Linked DNA regions of Drosophila melanogaster. The protein of the gene in region 1 purifies or fractionates together with the protein of each later gene. This does not show direct contact. Each region holds a gene or a part of one and is shown in the gene's direction. Other genes may lie near its edges.

Region 1 (8,347 bases):
ACTTCTTCCCTCACCCTGTTCTTGGATGACATCAACGTACCGTGCAATAGCGAAACTGGTTAATTAAGCTCGAGATTAAGGCTGCGTTGATAGCTACAGTGCGCTCCCGCCAGATTGACCCCCTTTGTTTCTTGTCATTTTATTTCATCCTTATCGCTCCGCACTTTCATTTGTTCCTTAGTCATCAGCTGTTGCGCATAAACAATTGATTGTGCGCCAATTGTGCGAGTGTTGGTGTCCCGCACAGTGGCCATCAGAATGGAAATACTGCTAAATCGGTCGCTTGTTGGCCACTGACAGTGTACCGAGTTCGGTTCCCAGCCCCCTCCCGAAACGGGAAAGGCATTCCAAAATGTTAGATGAATGCATGCTATTGTAATTGGAACTGCTTGTTTGCATGTTCTAATAAACTACACACACACACGACACGAAAAATGACGCCAATTCACGCTTACCCACAGACACACTAACGATCCCCGTCCACCTTCCCCACAGCAGCTGTTTTCGCCTTATTTACCCGTCTCATTTGTCGATTTTTGTGTCTCAATTGTTTGCCACTTTTCGCTTTGGTGACCTTCCGGGATTTAAGGATTTAAGCACAGATGTCGCTACTTACGTAAAGTCCTGGTTGAAGTTCATTTGATATGTGGTCATTGCTGCTGAAGATTTGTGCTTTGGTGATTGTATTTTTTTTATATAGTTACACTTTCACTGGTCTTTAGATGCTTTTTTTCAGCGATATTCAGTTGCAGAGTCCCGTCGTTTGAGTACACAAGATATTGATCGACGATGGCAGATGAGCAAAGCGAAATGATTTCACTTGATATTGAAAACTAAATTCGACTGTTTTGCGTCGTCTTTGTTGTTTTGCTGCGACTGTTTTTCTCGTTCTATCTATCAACAAATTCCCCCTACACACAACACACACACACATAAATCATCATCATTGGAACTGGGTTCGGGAACTGAACCAGCCGTGTTCACCAAATGCCATATATACCGTTAAATCATTTGTGTAACGGAAAATGTAAAATTGTTATTAAAAATTGAAATGGACAATATATATACATGTATCCGCATATATTTGCATTGGAAAAATCATAAAATTACCTCATATTTCACACAATTACAGTGCATTTAGTGTGTATATGTCAGTTTCATTTCTTTTTATATAAACATTAAAATAGTTTTTTCCAATAAGTATCTACAATTATCTAAGTGTTGTGTCAAATTTTCTATCAAATCGGAACAAAACAGTGGACGTGTTAAGCTTCTTATAAGGTTCTTCTGTCTTAGCAAAATTGTATTTCCCATAATGTATTTCCCTACTTCAACTTGATCTACACTAAAACTTTATACCTTTTGTTCCTAATTTATATTATAACCTATATTGTTCGTCGATTTAATAAATTTTGCATAGCCTATTTAATAGTAAAACAATTTTTAGATTTGTAACATTTAATACACATTTCATAGTCTAGCGCTAACTTAAAAATAAAACTGTCTTAACGCGAATCTGAGTAAGTTATAAATGTATTCGTAGTTTGTAAAAATCGTTTTCATGCATACGCCAAGTATACTAGAAACTAGTTCCCCAGTGCATCGACTGCCAACTCGCTTCAATTACATGGGTGCAATCTGCAGTATTGTCGAAAAGTGACTGCGCGGCCACACTGAAACTCACAACAGAAAATAAAGCATTTTCGCTTGCTTTAAAATAGGATTTTATCCCGTACAAGAGCTGTCTCGCGGCAAGAAATATGCACCCTCGAAGTCTCGCAGTGCCGTGCGACCAGAGAACTTGATCCTTGGACAAATGACTCGTGTTTGCAGTGCCCGTTTTGAGGTTTTGCCAGAGTAGTATACAACACCCGAAAATTTTCGCTGGTTCTCGGGGACGCATGAAAAATGGCGGCGTCCTCAGCTGCGGCTGCGGCGCCCACCAATCCGATCCCGCTTCCGACGGACTCCATATCGGAGGAGTGCAAGGACGACGACGCCCTCACCTCCACGCTGCACACATGCGCCAATGATCCGGACTTTGCGGTCATTTGCGCCTTCCTGCAAAAATTCGGCAAGGACCTGGGTCTTAACCTGCCCAACTTCAAGCATCTGCAGGAGTGGTTGACAAACAACAACGATGGTGAGAGGGTGGGGTGGTGGTATCAAGAGAGCGGGGTGGAAGCAGTTTTTTGCCAAATTAATTTATGTCAGGTTCAATTATCGTGGGGCAAGTGGCGGTGGAAACTACGGATGTAGTGTTTTCGAATAGGTCTGCTCCAGAGATTTAACAATGCTCCGCTCTGGAGAGCGTGCTTGGCTCGTCAGAGAGAAAGAGATTGCTCAATGGCAGAGAGAGCACTGCGATTTGTTTTCATCTCAACACAAGCGCAATATACAAAACAAATCTGGGAGAGACGTAAATATTTCCCACATTTGCTCTGGTCTTCTTATTTGAGAGATAGTAAGAGAGCTACAATTGAACACTAAAAGTTGGTTTTTTTTTTTTAATGTACACCTGCATCTGGAAATATATTAAATATTTAGGGTCACGAGTGGGAGGGAACCTGAAAATATATTTGTTTAAAAAAGTTATAATCATGCTAAGTTTCTACGTTTTGTATGTATTTGCGTGAGCAACAGCAGACACAAAAAGTGTACACTACAACAAACGCGGTTGCATTTATTTCACTTGCCCTCATAATCCACCCACAATCCATTTATATTCCGCTGTCACTTTCTTCCTTTTCGCAGAACTTTTACTAATATTTAATTATAACGAATCTTTGTAGTTCCTGAGCTAAGGGACTTGCACATAAAGCTGCTCCGTAAGACCCGTAAGACGGTTCACGAAAAGAGTTGGGAGTCCGCCCTCAGCAAATTCTGCTTCGGCTACTCGGTGCAAGATGCCTGGGAAATCGAACGTTTCGGTTATAGGAATTCCAGCTTGAAGGTTAAGCTGCGAATATTTCGGGTGAGTAACGAATTTCGTACCACTTGATAAACCGTTCTAAAGGGCGTCTTTCCCGTACAGGAACTTCTCGAAAGTCAGTTTGAACGCAATGCCAAGTTTCGGGCCCACATCCTCACCTTGAATGCCGATACTTTACGCTCTGAGCCAATTGGAAGGGACCGGTTGGGACATGCCTACTGGCTGACTCAGGATGCCCACTGTAATCTGCGGATCTACCAGGAGCATCTAGACGAGGAAATTTGGCAGGTGGTTGCCACGAACAGGGACGAGTTTGTAAATCTCATTTCAAGGCTGCGCGGAAATGAGGTGGTACTTCCTTCGAAGGACATTGGTGAGGCCGATGAGGACACCAGCAGCAGCAACAGTTGTCATCCCAAACCACCGCCCCCCGAACAGAAAGAAGAAGAGGACGATGAGGAAGTTGGAGATGAGCCCGAAAAAACTGTACCCAATCTAAAGATTAAACTCCGCTCTCCCGAGCAAGAGGATCAAAAGTCTAAAAAGGTTAAGGTGTGTATGGATTTAACCAAGGAGCTTTGCATTTTTAGATAAGATTTCATTCTCGGTCTTTCAGCCACTGCTCATTAGCCAGGCCAAACTTTCGAGTAGCGCATCGCCGGCCCCAACCAAAAAACGTTCTATCGAAGACGTAGACAGCAGCCCCACAGCCTCCCAGGAGGAACAGCAGAAGAAGCACCGTCCCACACTGCTTGATACAAAGCGAATCAAAAAGCCAAGTCGCTACGAAAGCACTAAGGATGAAATCGAAGAAGAGTCCGGAGAAGAGGATGAGGAAGAAGAGGACGAGGAGGATTCTGAATTGGATGAGGGTGAGGAAGAGGAAGATGTCGATAGTGCGGCGGCGGATATCGAGGAAGATGACGATGAGGAAGATACTGGAGAGCCTATAGAGGATCCAACGATAGTGGTGCAGGGCCAAGGATCAGGACTTGACTGTGAAGCCATCCCTTATAATTTAATTGGCAACTTTGATTATGAGGATGACTTGGAGATCGGGGAAGCCATTGCAGATCCAATGCTCCATGTGATTGGTCAAGGGTGGGGGACCGACTGTCTCGTGGGGAATGGTAAAAACGAAGCTTCCGTGGAGGAAACGTCAACGCGCACATCGGAACCAAAAGCGACGTTCTTTTTTGGCGAGCCCGGATGTCTCAAGCTAAGTCCCATGAAGCAAACATCAAAACCAGAGGCAAAACGGGGCATTTTTGACAGCTTGAGCGAGGAGAAAACAAATGGTGAAAGCGAAAAGTGTATAGTGAACACACCGCCCCGAAATGGAAGCGAACTCACAAAAACTCTGGGAGATAGTGAAGAAACAGCATCTGCGAGTGCAGCTACATTAGAAGAGACTAACATATGCCAAGAAGCTAACGTAAATAAAATCTCAGATGATCAAATAAAAAAAAAGGAATCCGTACCAGTGGCTAAAAGGAATATACAGGATAGTACAATAAGCGTGATCGAAAAGAATGAGGAAATCTCTAAAGGTCGTACCGAAAGTGAGGCAATTGAAGAAGGAGTGAGGAATAGGACAGAAGTTTCAGTCTTACAAAATAATTCAAATGAAAGTGATAACTCCTCTATTCAGACTCAGGATCAGCATAAAGTTCCAGCTGATCTGAACAATACAAAGAAACCAGTAACAGAAAAATGCGTCCTGGAAAGCGGTACAGTTGAGGATAAACTGGTAATAAATCATCAGCAAATTTCGACAAATGCCTTGGACACTGCATGTGATGAGAAACTTTCGTGTGAAACAGAAAGCCCTGTACCTAACCAACATGATTCCAAAATGAAATCAGAACAGGAAACGGCAACGAGCGCTAAGGAATCAGTATCTGAATCTTCTCCAACGGATGGGGAAGATGAAACAGCAAAATCGAAATGTTTGATTGACCCTTATGCAGGAAAAACCAATGATAAAGGTATTATTATAAATAAAATTGATAAGGCAGAAGGGGTTATTAAAACCTTGCTTCAAGATGATCCACCTAAAGATATTTCAAAAAGCGAAACGAATACAACATGTCTTGAAATCAATATTTCGCCATCTGCAGAACATAGGATTTCGGAAAAAGTTCAAACCATAGAACCAAGTACATCCCAAAACTTACTTTTCGAAGACAATGGAAAATCCGGAGAGGTTGACGGTAAGTCAAGGACGAGTGGTGCTGTTGAAGAAATATCTAAGACATCTACGTTATTAAATCGCAAGCGGCGTCTTAATGACTCTCAGTCCGCTCTACGAAACTCCACCTCCGAAAGCGAAGTGCACGAAGAGGAACCGCAAGATGACGATCCTACCCTGGACGATCTAGATGTGGGCGGCAAGCGCATTAAAATGAGACCGAAGACCACTAACGCGGAGTCCAGGCGAAAGGTGGAGGCTCAAAAAACGCAGATAGAAGAAACTACTTCGTCCAGCGGAGAAGACGATGCGCGTATTCGCCGCAAGTGTATAGCTCCTCACACTAAAACCAAGCCCACTCTGGAGGAAATTATTGAAAGAAAGTTAAAGAAAAGTATAGAGATGGATTTGCCGGAAAAGACAACTGAAAAAGTAATGGAGATGCCAACGCAACTGATGCAGAAAACTAGAGAAGCTACACCGCCCATCATCTCCTTAAGTCCGCAAAAAAAAACACCGATAACCAAGCCCCTAAAGAAAAATCTCCTGACACAACTACGACAGGAGGAGAGTGAAGAAGAGACCATACCAAGAAAACGAACAAACAGTGAGACCCTCGTGCCTGCAATTCCAGCATCTAATGTACTTTGTCAACCGGACGAGCGTCATCGCAAGCGTCGTAGCAGTGAGGATGCAAATGAGGCGTTTTCGAAGGAATCCTCCCCTACTGAAGTGCCTCCGTCAGCCGTAAGCGAGAAGTTGAAGCGCAATAACGAGCAGGACATACAGGAGGAAGTCGAGGACCCACTTGCAATGTCTGTCAAGGATTCATTACGTTCAGCTAAAGACCAATCGCCTGTACCGGAGGGATCTGCCCGTCGTTCTGGTCGCAGAGGTGGACCTGCTGTCATTCACTCTGAGCTTCCTCAGCCAAAAAGGACTCGAGGTGGGGCCAGGGATAAAATGCAGCCAGAGGTCAATGCTGAGCTGAAGCAGGAATCCGAAGATGATGAGAAAATTTCAACCAAAATAAAATCTGAAGCTAAAGACGATCCAGCCCCAGAAAGCCCAGAAAATAGAAAGAAACCTGAGGAGAAACCCATCAAGGAAGAGCCCAACGAGGAGCCAAAGCCAAAGGTGGGTCGTGGACGTGGGCCGAGAAAGAAGCGTGAGGTGGATACTACCAATATCATTGAGACCAACGACTCGGAGACACCTGTGCGCCAATCTAGGCGCATTGCCCAGCAGAAGATCAAAGAGGAAGCTGAAAGGCGAAAGCAAGAGGAGGTTGCTCTACGTACCATGAAACAGGAGCTTAAGAAAAAGAAAAAAGCCGAGAAGGAAGCAGATCCTACTGTGCTAGAACCATCAGGAGAAGAATCAGAATCCGAGGCCAGCGAGGCGGAGGAGGAGGCACGTAATAAGAAGAAAAAAAAGTGTCCTGGCAAGGATGGCTGGTCTTCCGATTCAGAAGAACAGCCAGAAAGTGAGGAGGAGGAGGAGGAGCCACCGCACTATGAAACGGATCCTGGTTCGCCACTCTTCCGGTCCGATCACGAATTTTCACCAGAATCGGAGCTTGAAGATGAGTCTCAAGTGGTGCCAATGAAAAGGGCGCGCACCGTACGGAAGGAGAACGCCGATGACCTAGAGGAGGTAAATATTAAAAATGTTAATTAGAAAGCATACAAAATTGATTTTGTTAGCTTTCCCGTTCTGAATGTCTATTCAAAATAGAAGAAACTATTTCTTGAGTTATTCCTTGCATTGTTATTGTACCCGTTATAATCCAGAATGTGTTTTATATCTTAAGTGGTCACTAAAATCACTATGCAGTAACATTCATGCTGATTTATTTTACAGGAGGATGCGGAGGAAGCTTGTCAGAAATGCGGCAAGTCTGACCATCCGGAGTGGATTTTGCTCTGCGACACGCCTACCTGTAACAAAGGATACCACTGCTCCTGCCTTTCACCAGTGCTCTTCTACATTCCTGAGGGCGATTGGCACTGCCCTCCTTGTCAGCAGGAGCAGCTCATAGCTGCCCTGGAGAGACAGCTGGAGCAATACGACACATTGGTAGCTCAAAAGCAACAGGAGCGGATCTTGGCTGAAGAGCAAGCCGAGCGAGAGCGTCAGGAGCTAGAGGCGGCCACGCTGGCGGCGAAGGACGAAAACTTCAAGAGCGAAAAGGAAGAGGACGAAGACGATAGGGATGATATGGCAGTCGGCAAGGCTGAAAAGGTAAAGCGGCGTCGCGGAGATGGACGCATTAATAGGAGAGCTGCCAAGCGAGGCACCAGGCGCCGTCGTGGAAACGAATCTGACTCCAGCCACCGCAAATCCTTAGGCAGTGGCTCTAGATCCGGATCTGGATCTGACTCAAGTAGCGACAATAGCACTAGCTTTTCTGACTCGGATGATGAACCCATATACAAGTTGCGCAAGCGGCGGCAAATCAACGTGAGCTATCGGCTTAACGAGTATGACGACCTTATCAATTCTGCTTTAAAAAAGGAGATGGATGAGGTTGCCGGAGCAGGAAATCTGGGCCGCGGCAAAGACATATCCACCATTATTGAGGCGGATAAGGAAAAGGCACGACGTGATGATCTGCCTACGGAGGATGAAGTGGGGAATAAGGAAGACGGTGAGAAGGATAAACAAAAGTCAAAATCTAGCGGCAGTAGTCCGTCGTCGTCAGAAGACGAAGTACCTCTCAAACGTAGTAACAAGTTTAAACAACCTCCTGCCAAAAAGAAGGCTCGAAAACTGACCACCCTGGACGTTAGCAGCGAAGAAGATCATGGAAGCGATGAGGACTTTAAAACGTCCAGTTACTCGGATGAAGATACTTCACAGTCCGCATCCGGAGACTCAGACTCAAGCTTGGAGGCATACAGGCGACCCGGTCGAGGAAAAAAGCAAAGAAAGGCAGCCAGGAGAGCGGCACGTGAAAGGCGCAAGGATAGAAAGTTTGTGGTTGAAGAGAGTGACGAAAGCGAAGATGAAGATCAGAAGAGACGGACTACAAAGTCAAAAAAGAAGAAAGACGATTCTGACTATACAGAAACGGAAACGGAAGATGACGATGATAATGAGTTGTCCGATAACGTGGACAGCGCCGATTTGTGTGACGACACCACTTCTGAGAGCGAGGATGGTGCCTGGAATCCTTCTTCCAAAAAGAAAAAGACGGTGGCCGCAAAGAAGTCGAATTCGTC
Region 2 (8,526 bases), on another chromosome or scaffold:
TTGCTGTTACTTTTTAGCTTAAATTTGCTTTATCTACTTGCTACTCACTTAACCAACTTTTCAACAATCGTGCACTTTTGCCCACGCATTTGTACAAAACTTAACCTAGACTTGGCTTTAGTTTAAAAATGCTTACAAAAACTAACTAAAGAAATCAATAGAAAATCCGTATCCGTCCAACAGGGAAGCATGAGAACTAATTTCGTTGCTTGGGCACAGGTAAGTCACAAGCCAAGAAAAAAAATATACAAAAATTACAAAAGTCAAGTACAGTTGCGCACCGTTTTCTTAGTTCGATCTTGCCTCGCTCGTAGATGGATGGGATACCGGATTTTAGCCGGCCTATCTTGGTGGTTCACAAACACACTTTCACTCCTTCCCCGATCCAGCACCCTCCTGCCTCCCTCCCGCTCCAGAAAAAATCCCAAAACACTTAGCGAAATTCCCTATGCAATGTTAACACCAAACGTTTTTCGTTTTATTTGTATTATTTCTTGATTTCCTGGTATGTTGGTTTGTTCGATTACAAATAAACATATATATTTTAATCACAAATATCTTAACGATTTTGGTTTGTGAATGTTGACAATATTCTTATAACCAGTATTTGATTGATTGATTGACGGTTAATGCGTTCGAAAGTTTAAACAAAAACATAAATCGAAAAAGGCAATGAACTTAAAAGAAACACACACGAATTTTGTAGTGCAAAAATAACATATTTTAATTTAGTACTTTTTGTAGTTCCAACATCTATCTATCTCAGCGCCAACATACTCTCTATTTCTCTTTCTCTGTATCTCCTCTATCTCTCTGTATATCTTTCTATCTGTTCAATTATATTTTACTCTTATAACAACTAACTTTGATCTTAAGAATCTTTTTACTAACTTTCTTCCAAAACAGAAACCACATAGAACTCTTTCACTAGAGCCACACCTGTAGCATATACTAAACAAATCTATAAGAGTACACACAATCACAGATACACTCACTGAATGTTAGCGAAAAATATACAGAAAAGACGATACAGTTACAAAATTAGCTATGCACTTAGAGAAACACACAACAAACGACTCATGAATATACTATAAACCAATGGTGAATTTTTACTACTTGTAGGCGCGTTTTTGAAGAATAATATTAAATCCGTTTGAACAGCCCGATAATGCTGGGCCTTAGCTTCACATCCATAGATTCCTCACAATACAAAAAGCACTAAATTAATATCAAAGATCTTACCAATATAGCGGAATGCTAACATAATGGATTATTGGTATTGGTTGATGAATATTGCAAGGAAATGAGAAAAACCAAAGAGACACAAAAAGCCCACAGAACCAACTCTCTAGAAGAATCAGCAGTCGATTTTATGTTTTAATTTGAGTTATGGTTTAGTTTTCGGTTTCGATTATCCATCATGAAAATAGCAGATAATTCAGATTTTAAATTGACTTTACACCTCAGCTCACCACGCACACATCTAAATAGTGCTTCCCGCCACTCACCTCAATTCGCCATTTCACCCACTCACCCCAACTCACCACACCAAGTGGCGCACGCGCCACAAATTCCACCAGTGGCGTACGCAGGATTCTCTCAAAGGGGCTTGAAAATATTTTCTTATTTTCATTTAATTCTGTAATATGCTGAAGAAGAAGAGCCCTCTCCCTGCGCACGCCACTCTCTTCAACCACCAACACGGTTGCGCAGCCGCGACAGAGAGATATGCCTTCGCTCTCTCGCAGCTGCGCCACGCCCACCACCCACAGCCACCCACGAAAATGGTGCTTTTTCACATACGACACCACTGTCTGACTATATTTTTCATCATGTACGCCATCGCAATCCATGCCACAGTGGTCGCAATGCCGCGACAGCCGCTCCACAAGTGCCACCAAATACTATTTTATTTGTGTATTTATTTTCACCGAAAATGAATTCCTGCACTTTGTGGGCGGCAGGCGCGCGTGCATTGCCGAGCATCTGAAACGTCGAGGGTAGAGATGAAAATATCGGGCGCCGCCTGTCACCGGCGAGTATTACCCAATATAAATCGCTAATGGCCACAGGCGGTCGCCGCCCCAACTGTAATTGTGAACGTCCGTGCGGCCATTGCCCAAAAATGATTACATAATACGATCGAACGAACCGAATGAGAAGCCAAAGAACTAAGGATACGAAAGCAGCTGAAATAACGTTGGAGGATCGGCGCGGGATTTTGGCAAATCGAGCTTCTTCTGCTTGGGGCTTTTCAAGCATAAGGCTTTGAGGCTTTCTTTTTACTAAGCAGGTGCTTCCAACTCGCTTTGCTGGACAAATGCCCGACATAAGTTACCATTCAAAATCGCTTGGCCAAATCAGCATTACCCCCACAAATTGTTAAGGACTAGCGAGTAAATTTTAATCGTATTCTCGAATATAAATTGAGCAAACTTTAAGTCAACGAGCACATTTGAAACTATCAAGACATTGTAACCAGCAAATAAACAAAGTTAAGCAAAACAGCGAGTACGAAAAGCCTTGTAAGAGATTATAATAAAACAAAAGCATTTAAAGGAAGTTACAAAGTGGAGTTATTATTATTTGTATGCTGTATGCACAAGTTTAATTTAAAGAATCCAAATAAAATTCTAAGCTATCCAGCACACAAAATAAAACAAAAATTGTTTTACTCATTTAATAACTATATCTATAATGTCGACTGTTCAGCAAACAAGTTGTAAATACAAATTTGAATTAACAATTTTTTATAAATTTCGAATGTTAAAGCCCATGCGTTAGCACATCTTTGCCGATGCCGCAATTGTGAGTGTTTCCGATAGCTCGCACGAAATGCACTAGCGCATGAGCACTCCGAATTATTTGCACACCACTAGCTGGGCACCTGGTGAATGGGGCTGCGTAAATTAACAACAAAATAAATAAATGCAGCTTGGCCCCGGCTATCCAAATGTATGCATGCGACCCCTCACAAAATTCCACAGATTTAGATGAAAACCGCACTCAAAACGGTTAACTATTTCGCCTGGAGGCCTAGCCAAAATAATTTCGCCACTGTGGCGACGATTTCGTTCGACTCCGACAACTCCGAATTTTCATTCGTAATGGCCGCCCATAAGTAAAAACGTGTCCCGCTGCTGAAGAACGATTATACGCGTTTGCGCTAAGCCAATTGCTTGAATTTAGCTGTAAACGGTGCGGCAGTGGTAAATACGCTGAAAACCACATCATTTAATCATATAAGAGGCCCCAACGCCCGGCAAAGAGTGTGAAAAAAGTGCGTGAAAAAATCTTAATCGATTTTTTTGTTTGTGAAAAAAAAATCATGCAGCGTTGGGCATAGTGCTCGAAGAGCTCGCCAGGGGGCGCTGACAAACTGTTCGGAGTGTCATCGGAATAAGAGGCCGGCTATTTAGCGCTGCCAACGGCGATTAATCGATAACCGTAGCGGTTTTGAAATATATATTTTGAAAGGAAAACGTCATGTTAGAGCAATTTAAAAATTCTAGCAGTAAATATTTAATTTTTGCCCATATATGACAGGGCCCTGCAGTGAAATTGCGGCAATTAAATCGACGACCGCTTATCGTTATCGCCGCCGACGGCACAAATAAATCGCGGCCCCGCTGTCCGCGGCGTCGTCGGTGTTCGGCTCTCTGGCCGCCATTATTGCTTTCCAGCGAAACCACGCTATACGCAAAATCGGGTTTATATGTGTAAATTTTTCGGGCGATTTATCAACCAGATTGCGTTCGCTGATGCATGAAAAGTGCGGTAAAGTGTGTAAAAAATTAGCGCTGGCCCAGAAAAACATACGCACTCGATGGCTGATTACTAATTAACTAGATAAAAGCAAAAAACAAAACCCACATGAGGCGGAGTTTGATTGCGTTTTTTTTTCTCACTTAACAGAGTTCTGTACAAACAAAATGTTAGCTAACAGGGCTCTGCAAAGTGAAATATCTCGCGGAAAAGGCAGTATTAAATTCGCCGCGTTTGTTTGAGATGTGTGTTTGCGCGCGTGTGTTTGTTTATGCCGCCTTTTTCTTCGTCTCGGCTTTCTATGATTTTGCATTTTATCGCATTTAAATAAAAAAAAAAAATCATGACTCATGCGGATCGTGTTTTTGTGCGTGTTAATATTAATTTAATGCAAAAGCAAAGAAATATACAAATGTATGTGGATTTGTGAGTTTTTTCCCGCGCGCGCCGCCCTCACATATCAATGTATGCGTGTGTGTGAGAGTTGTTTACTTACTAGTTTTTGTTGTTGTTATCAATTCTAGATTTTTTATCAGCCAACCGATAACACGACAGCCAAGGCGAAATAATAATAAATAATAACAAGAAGAGGAAGTCAACAAATAAGCAAAAGAAAGAAGAACACAATATTGATTTAACCTAAAACGATGATGAACTGAAATGTGCAAATTTGATGAACGTAATTATGCCAATTCACACAGAACCTTCGATTTCAACGTGAAAAATGTCGTCGACACATTTGCTGCATTCACTGTCACTGTTGTTGCTACCACTGCGTTGTCGTCGTAATTGCCACCAGATCGTTTCCTTGGCCATTGTCCTGCTGTCGGCGCTGTCAGCCAGAGCTCCCGAGGATCAAGGAGGACGACAGGAGAGGGAGGCGGAGGAGGAGGACGAGCGGCAGGCGGACCGCCGGGAGAGTGTCCAGGGGGAGGAGGAGGACACGCCCTACATAGTCGCCAATCCACACCCAATCCTCACTAGCAGTAGCACTACGTCTTCGGCCAGGGCAACGGGCACAGGGGCTGCGTTAACCAGCTGGCAGAGCAGCCACAGCCACCGCAGCCCCGGTGCTCACGATCGGGATCGGTGTCAGGAACAGGAACAGGATCAGAAGCAGCAGCACCTTTTCTACCCCAGCAAGCCCCATCTCCAGCTAACGTATACAGCCCCCTCGACATCGAGTAGAGGAGCCAACACAACGCCGACCACGAATCGGAGTAGATCCTCCAGAATCCAAATTAGCAGTTGCAGCACTAGTCCTGCCCACTGCAGTTGGACCGCCGGAGCAATCGTAGCCTCCTTAGCATCCATAGCCACCTAAGCAGTCGATTCCACTAGGCAAACTCTCAAATCAGCCACAGCAACAGCAAATAGAAACGTTCCACACACCACAACAACCCAACCCAAAACCACCCACAACCAAAACCCAAACAAAAGCCAGCAAGATGTCCAAGCTGTCGTTCAGAGCCCGCCATTTGGATCCGTCCAAGCAGATGCCCATCTACTTGGCGGAGGAGCTGCCCGACCTCCCCGAGTACTCAGCCATCAACCGGGCAGTGCCTCAAATGCCCAGTGGCATGGAGAAGGAGGAGGAGTCGGTAGGAAGTTTCTCAGTGATCCTTTATTTTGGATGAAACTAATTTTGTCCCTTATCCCTTGTAGGAGCACCACTTGCAGCGAGCGATATGCACGGGTCTGATCATCCCCACGCCCGAGGTGCTGCAGACGGATCAGCCCTTCTACGATGCCTACTATCCGCCGGACTACAAAATGCCCCGCCAAATGATCCACATGCAACGTAAGCAAAAAGCAACTACTAGAGCAGAATAATTCGTTTCGTTTCGGGCTTAGAACATTATTTTTAAATTCCATATCAATATTGAATGAAATGCAATAACTTATGTAGTTTCGTATTATTCTTGGACTAATTTTTTACAATTGTTTAACTCTCAGCTCTTGGGCTGGATACCGAGGTCCCTGACTACGACATGGACAGTGCCGATGAGGACTGGCTCAGTCAGCAGCAGCGCCTGGAGCTTACCGAACTCAAGTTCGAGCAGATGATGGACCGGCTAGAAAAGAGCTCCGGCCAAACGGTGGTCACGCTGAACGAGGCCAAGTCGCTGCTTAACCAGGACGACGAGACCAGCATATCCGTCTACGATTACTGGCTGAACAAACGCCTCAAGATGGTAATAAACACTTAGCTTGGCTATTGGCTACGGCAATATACTAAATCAACTATCTTATTCATTCTCTAGCAACACCCGCTGATCCTCACTGTGAAAACTGAGAGTCGACCAGGCGCCAGCTCCAACAATCCGTACTTGGCTTTTCGTCGTCGCACCGAGAAAATGCAAACCCGCAAAAATCGAAAGAACGATGAGGCCTCCTACGAAAAGATGCTCAAGCTGCGGTAAGAATCGAGTGAAGTTTGCCTAAAGTCGGTTGAGAAATTTTTAAATGCTGGCTAATCGGGCTACACTGCAATTACTGGACACAGAACTTGCAAACATTTTCTTTCTCTGTATCATATAAATTCAATTCCTGCCCGATTTAAATGCAGGTTTTTTATGCATGATATCCTTAATCAGGAATTTTCCCATATACAACATTTTGTTTATAAAAAGCCAGGTAGTTTTCGTTAGCCAGCATATTTTATTGCCCAGCTTTTCATACCTGACCCTAACTAATCCACTCTTTCCCTGTCCTCTAGACGTGACCTGCAGCGCGCCACCACTATACTGGAGATGGTGAGGCGACGCGAGGAGACGAAGCGCGATCATCTCAAGATGACGGTGAACATCTTCGAGAAGCGCGTTGAGATGCGCGACTTCAACGGTGCTGTCTACTCCGAGCTGAATTCTCAGTACAAGAACACAAGGTGCGTTTTCGGACACCTTTTACTTATGAAGAAAGGTACTGAAATACTCCTTGTTTATTTGCAGACCCGCGTATAATCCATTGTATACGAATCAATACTCACAAGGGGCGGCGGCGGTGGGAACGGCTGGTGCCATTCTAGCCGCCCTGCCCACGGGTCTGCTGCCGGGCGGTGCTGGAGCGGCAGGCAATGCAAATGTCTTCGGCTCAGCGTCCCAGTACCTGAACTCGTCGAATCTGACAATGGGTAAGGGTGGGATTACATCTAGTATTTAATTGCAGATGTCCTAATCACACTGCTTTAAATCGCTCAGGGAATATACAGTCAGAAATGAAATTGTCGTGGAATAATTAACAATGTCCGCTTGACTAACTTATTTGGCCATTTTGGTATTAATATGCCTTTTAAAAATAGATAATCATTGTTTTTTAATTTCATATACATCGTGTTAGTTTTTCTTAATATATCGTGTTATCTTCCTTTTCTTAATTTAAATATAAAATATTTTGTTTAGCTTGTTTGTCCACCTCTTTCCTAAATCTTAAAGCCATCTCTAGAAAAAATTATTTTTGTCACACACTGTTTAACCGAATTTTCAATTGCTCTTCTAGATGCCATCAGTGGCAGTGGGAATGGAAACAGCAGTCGCAAGGAGAAGCGTCCATACAAGAAGCGCAAGCACAAATTGCCCCGCGACAAGCAGCAGCACCAGCAGCAGCAAACGCAGCAGCACCAGCAACAACAGTATTTGCCGGCGTCTGGTGGCGCCGGAGTCTCGCCCGCGCACCACCTGCCCCACCATCTGCACCACCTCAGCAGGCAGCAGAGTGCCTCGCCGGCAGCCAACGACTCGATTGCGGACAGCGAGGAGGAGGACTACTTTGGCGCCGGTGCCCAGAATGGAAACAAACTGGGCTCCGAGAGCGAGGAGGAGACGCCGTTTGCATTTAGGCGCAGATCAAGCTGTGTTTACCTACCGGTAAGTGTTTTGAATCCGTGCTTGGATCTAAAGATTACGCAGACTTTAATTGCTTTCATTTGCACAACAGACTCGACAACGAGATGGCCGCTATCCGTGGGACTCAGCCGACGAGGATATGGCGCCCAGTGGTGCTTGTTCGGATGCTAAATACCGTTACACACTGACCTCCCTCAATTATCCCAGGTTTGTTGCCATTCTCTTTGGCCAATGTAAATGCCCATACTCACTCCAAATCGGGCTAATTTTACAGACCACGCTGCATTGGCTTCGCACGTCGTCGATTGGGTCGTGGCGGTCGCATCCTGCTGGACCGGGCCACAACGAATTTCGACGACTTTTGGTCGCAGCTTGACTACACGGTGATGGAAAGCGTGACGGTCAACAAATGTAGGGATAAAATCAAGCAACGGGATCCCGATCAGCTGTGCAAGCCCAGCTCACCGCCCACGGTGGTAGATCTGGTTCCCGCTGGAAAGCCCGTCGATGGTGAGCATCCTGTTCCTGAACTGATAAAGGAGGAGCCGTCAAGCGATACAGAAAAGCCTGTTGCTGCGACGGAATCTGGGCGGGAGAGCAAAGAACGGGAGCTTGAGGAGAAATTTGAGAACGATGTAGATGATGAATTCGTAGCCAGTGACGATGAGAATGTGTCACGGCTTGGAATCTACAGTTCAGCGGTTACGTTACCCCAAAGTTGTGCTGATCTTCGCCAGAAACGTCGCCGCCTGCGTCGCAAGAAGCAACAGTTGCGAGAACTTAATGCCGCAAAGCGTCTAAAGAGGTCTTCGGAAGCGGTGGCAACCGCTGAAGATGTTCAACTGGAGGACGAGGATACTAAACCAGATCTGCGTCCATTACCCAGGGCTTACCTTCAGCGTTTGGCATTGATTCT

Evidence for each region. The genes of interacting proteins can lie anywhere in the genome.
Region 2: the proteins of CG8677 (region 1) and E(Pc) purify together in Drosophila melanogaster (affinity purification with western blotting, with the first as the bait; one study listed by BioGRID). This does not show direct contact.

What each region holds. Positions count from the first base shown.
Region 1 is NT_033779.5:21,219,644-21,227,990, forward strand, and holds the start of CG8677 (uncharacterized protein), read left to right. Parts: upstream 1-1,668; 5' UTR 1,669-1,908; coding exon 1,909-2,143; intron 2,144-2,792; coding exon 2,793-2,974; intron 2,975-3,034; coding exon 3,035-3,484; intron 3,485-3,548; coding exon 3,549-6,779; intron 6,780-6,986; coding exon 6,987-8,347. Other genes in the region: Atg18b (Autophagy-related 18b), read right to left, coding at 617-654.
Region 2 is NT_033778.4:11,449,104-11,457,629, forward strand, and holds the start of E(Pc) (enhancer of polycomb), read left to right. Parts: upstream 1-3,085; 5' UTR 3,086-3,280; intron 3,281-3,665; exon of another isoform or gene 3,666-3,782; intron 3,783-4,289; 5' UTR 4,290-5,213; coding exon 5,214-5,366; intron 5,367-5,430; coding exon 5,431-5,566; intron 5,567-5,721; coding exon 5,722-5,960; intron 5,961-6,029; coding exon 6,030-6,184; intron 6,185-6,484; coding exon 6,485-6,652; coding exon of another isoform or gene 6,653-6,687; intron 6,688-6,716; coding exon 6,717-6,898; intron 6,899-7,263; coding exon 7,264-7,631; intron 7,632-7,701; coding exon 7,702-7,817; intron 7,818-7,884; coding exon 7,885-8,526.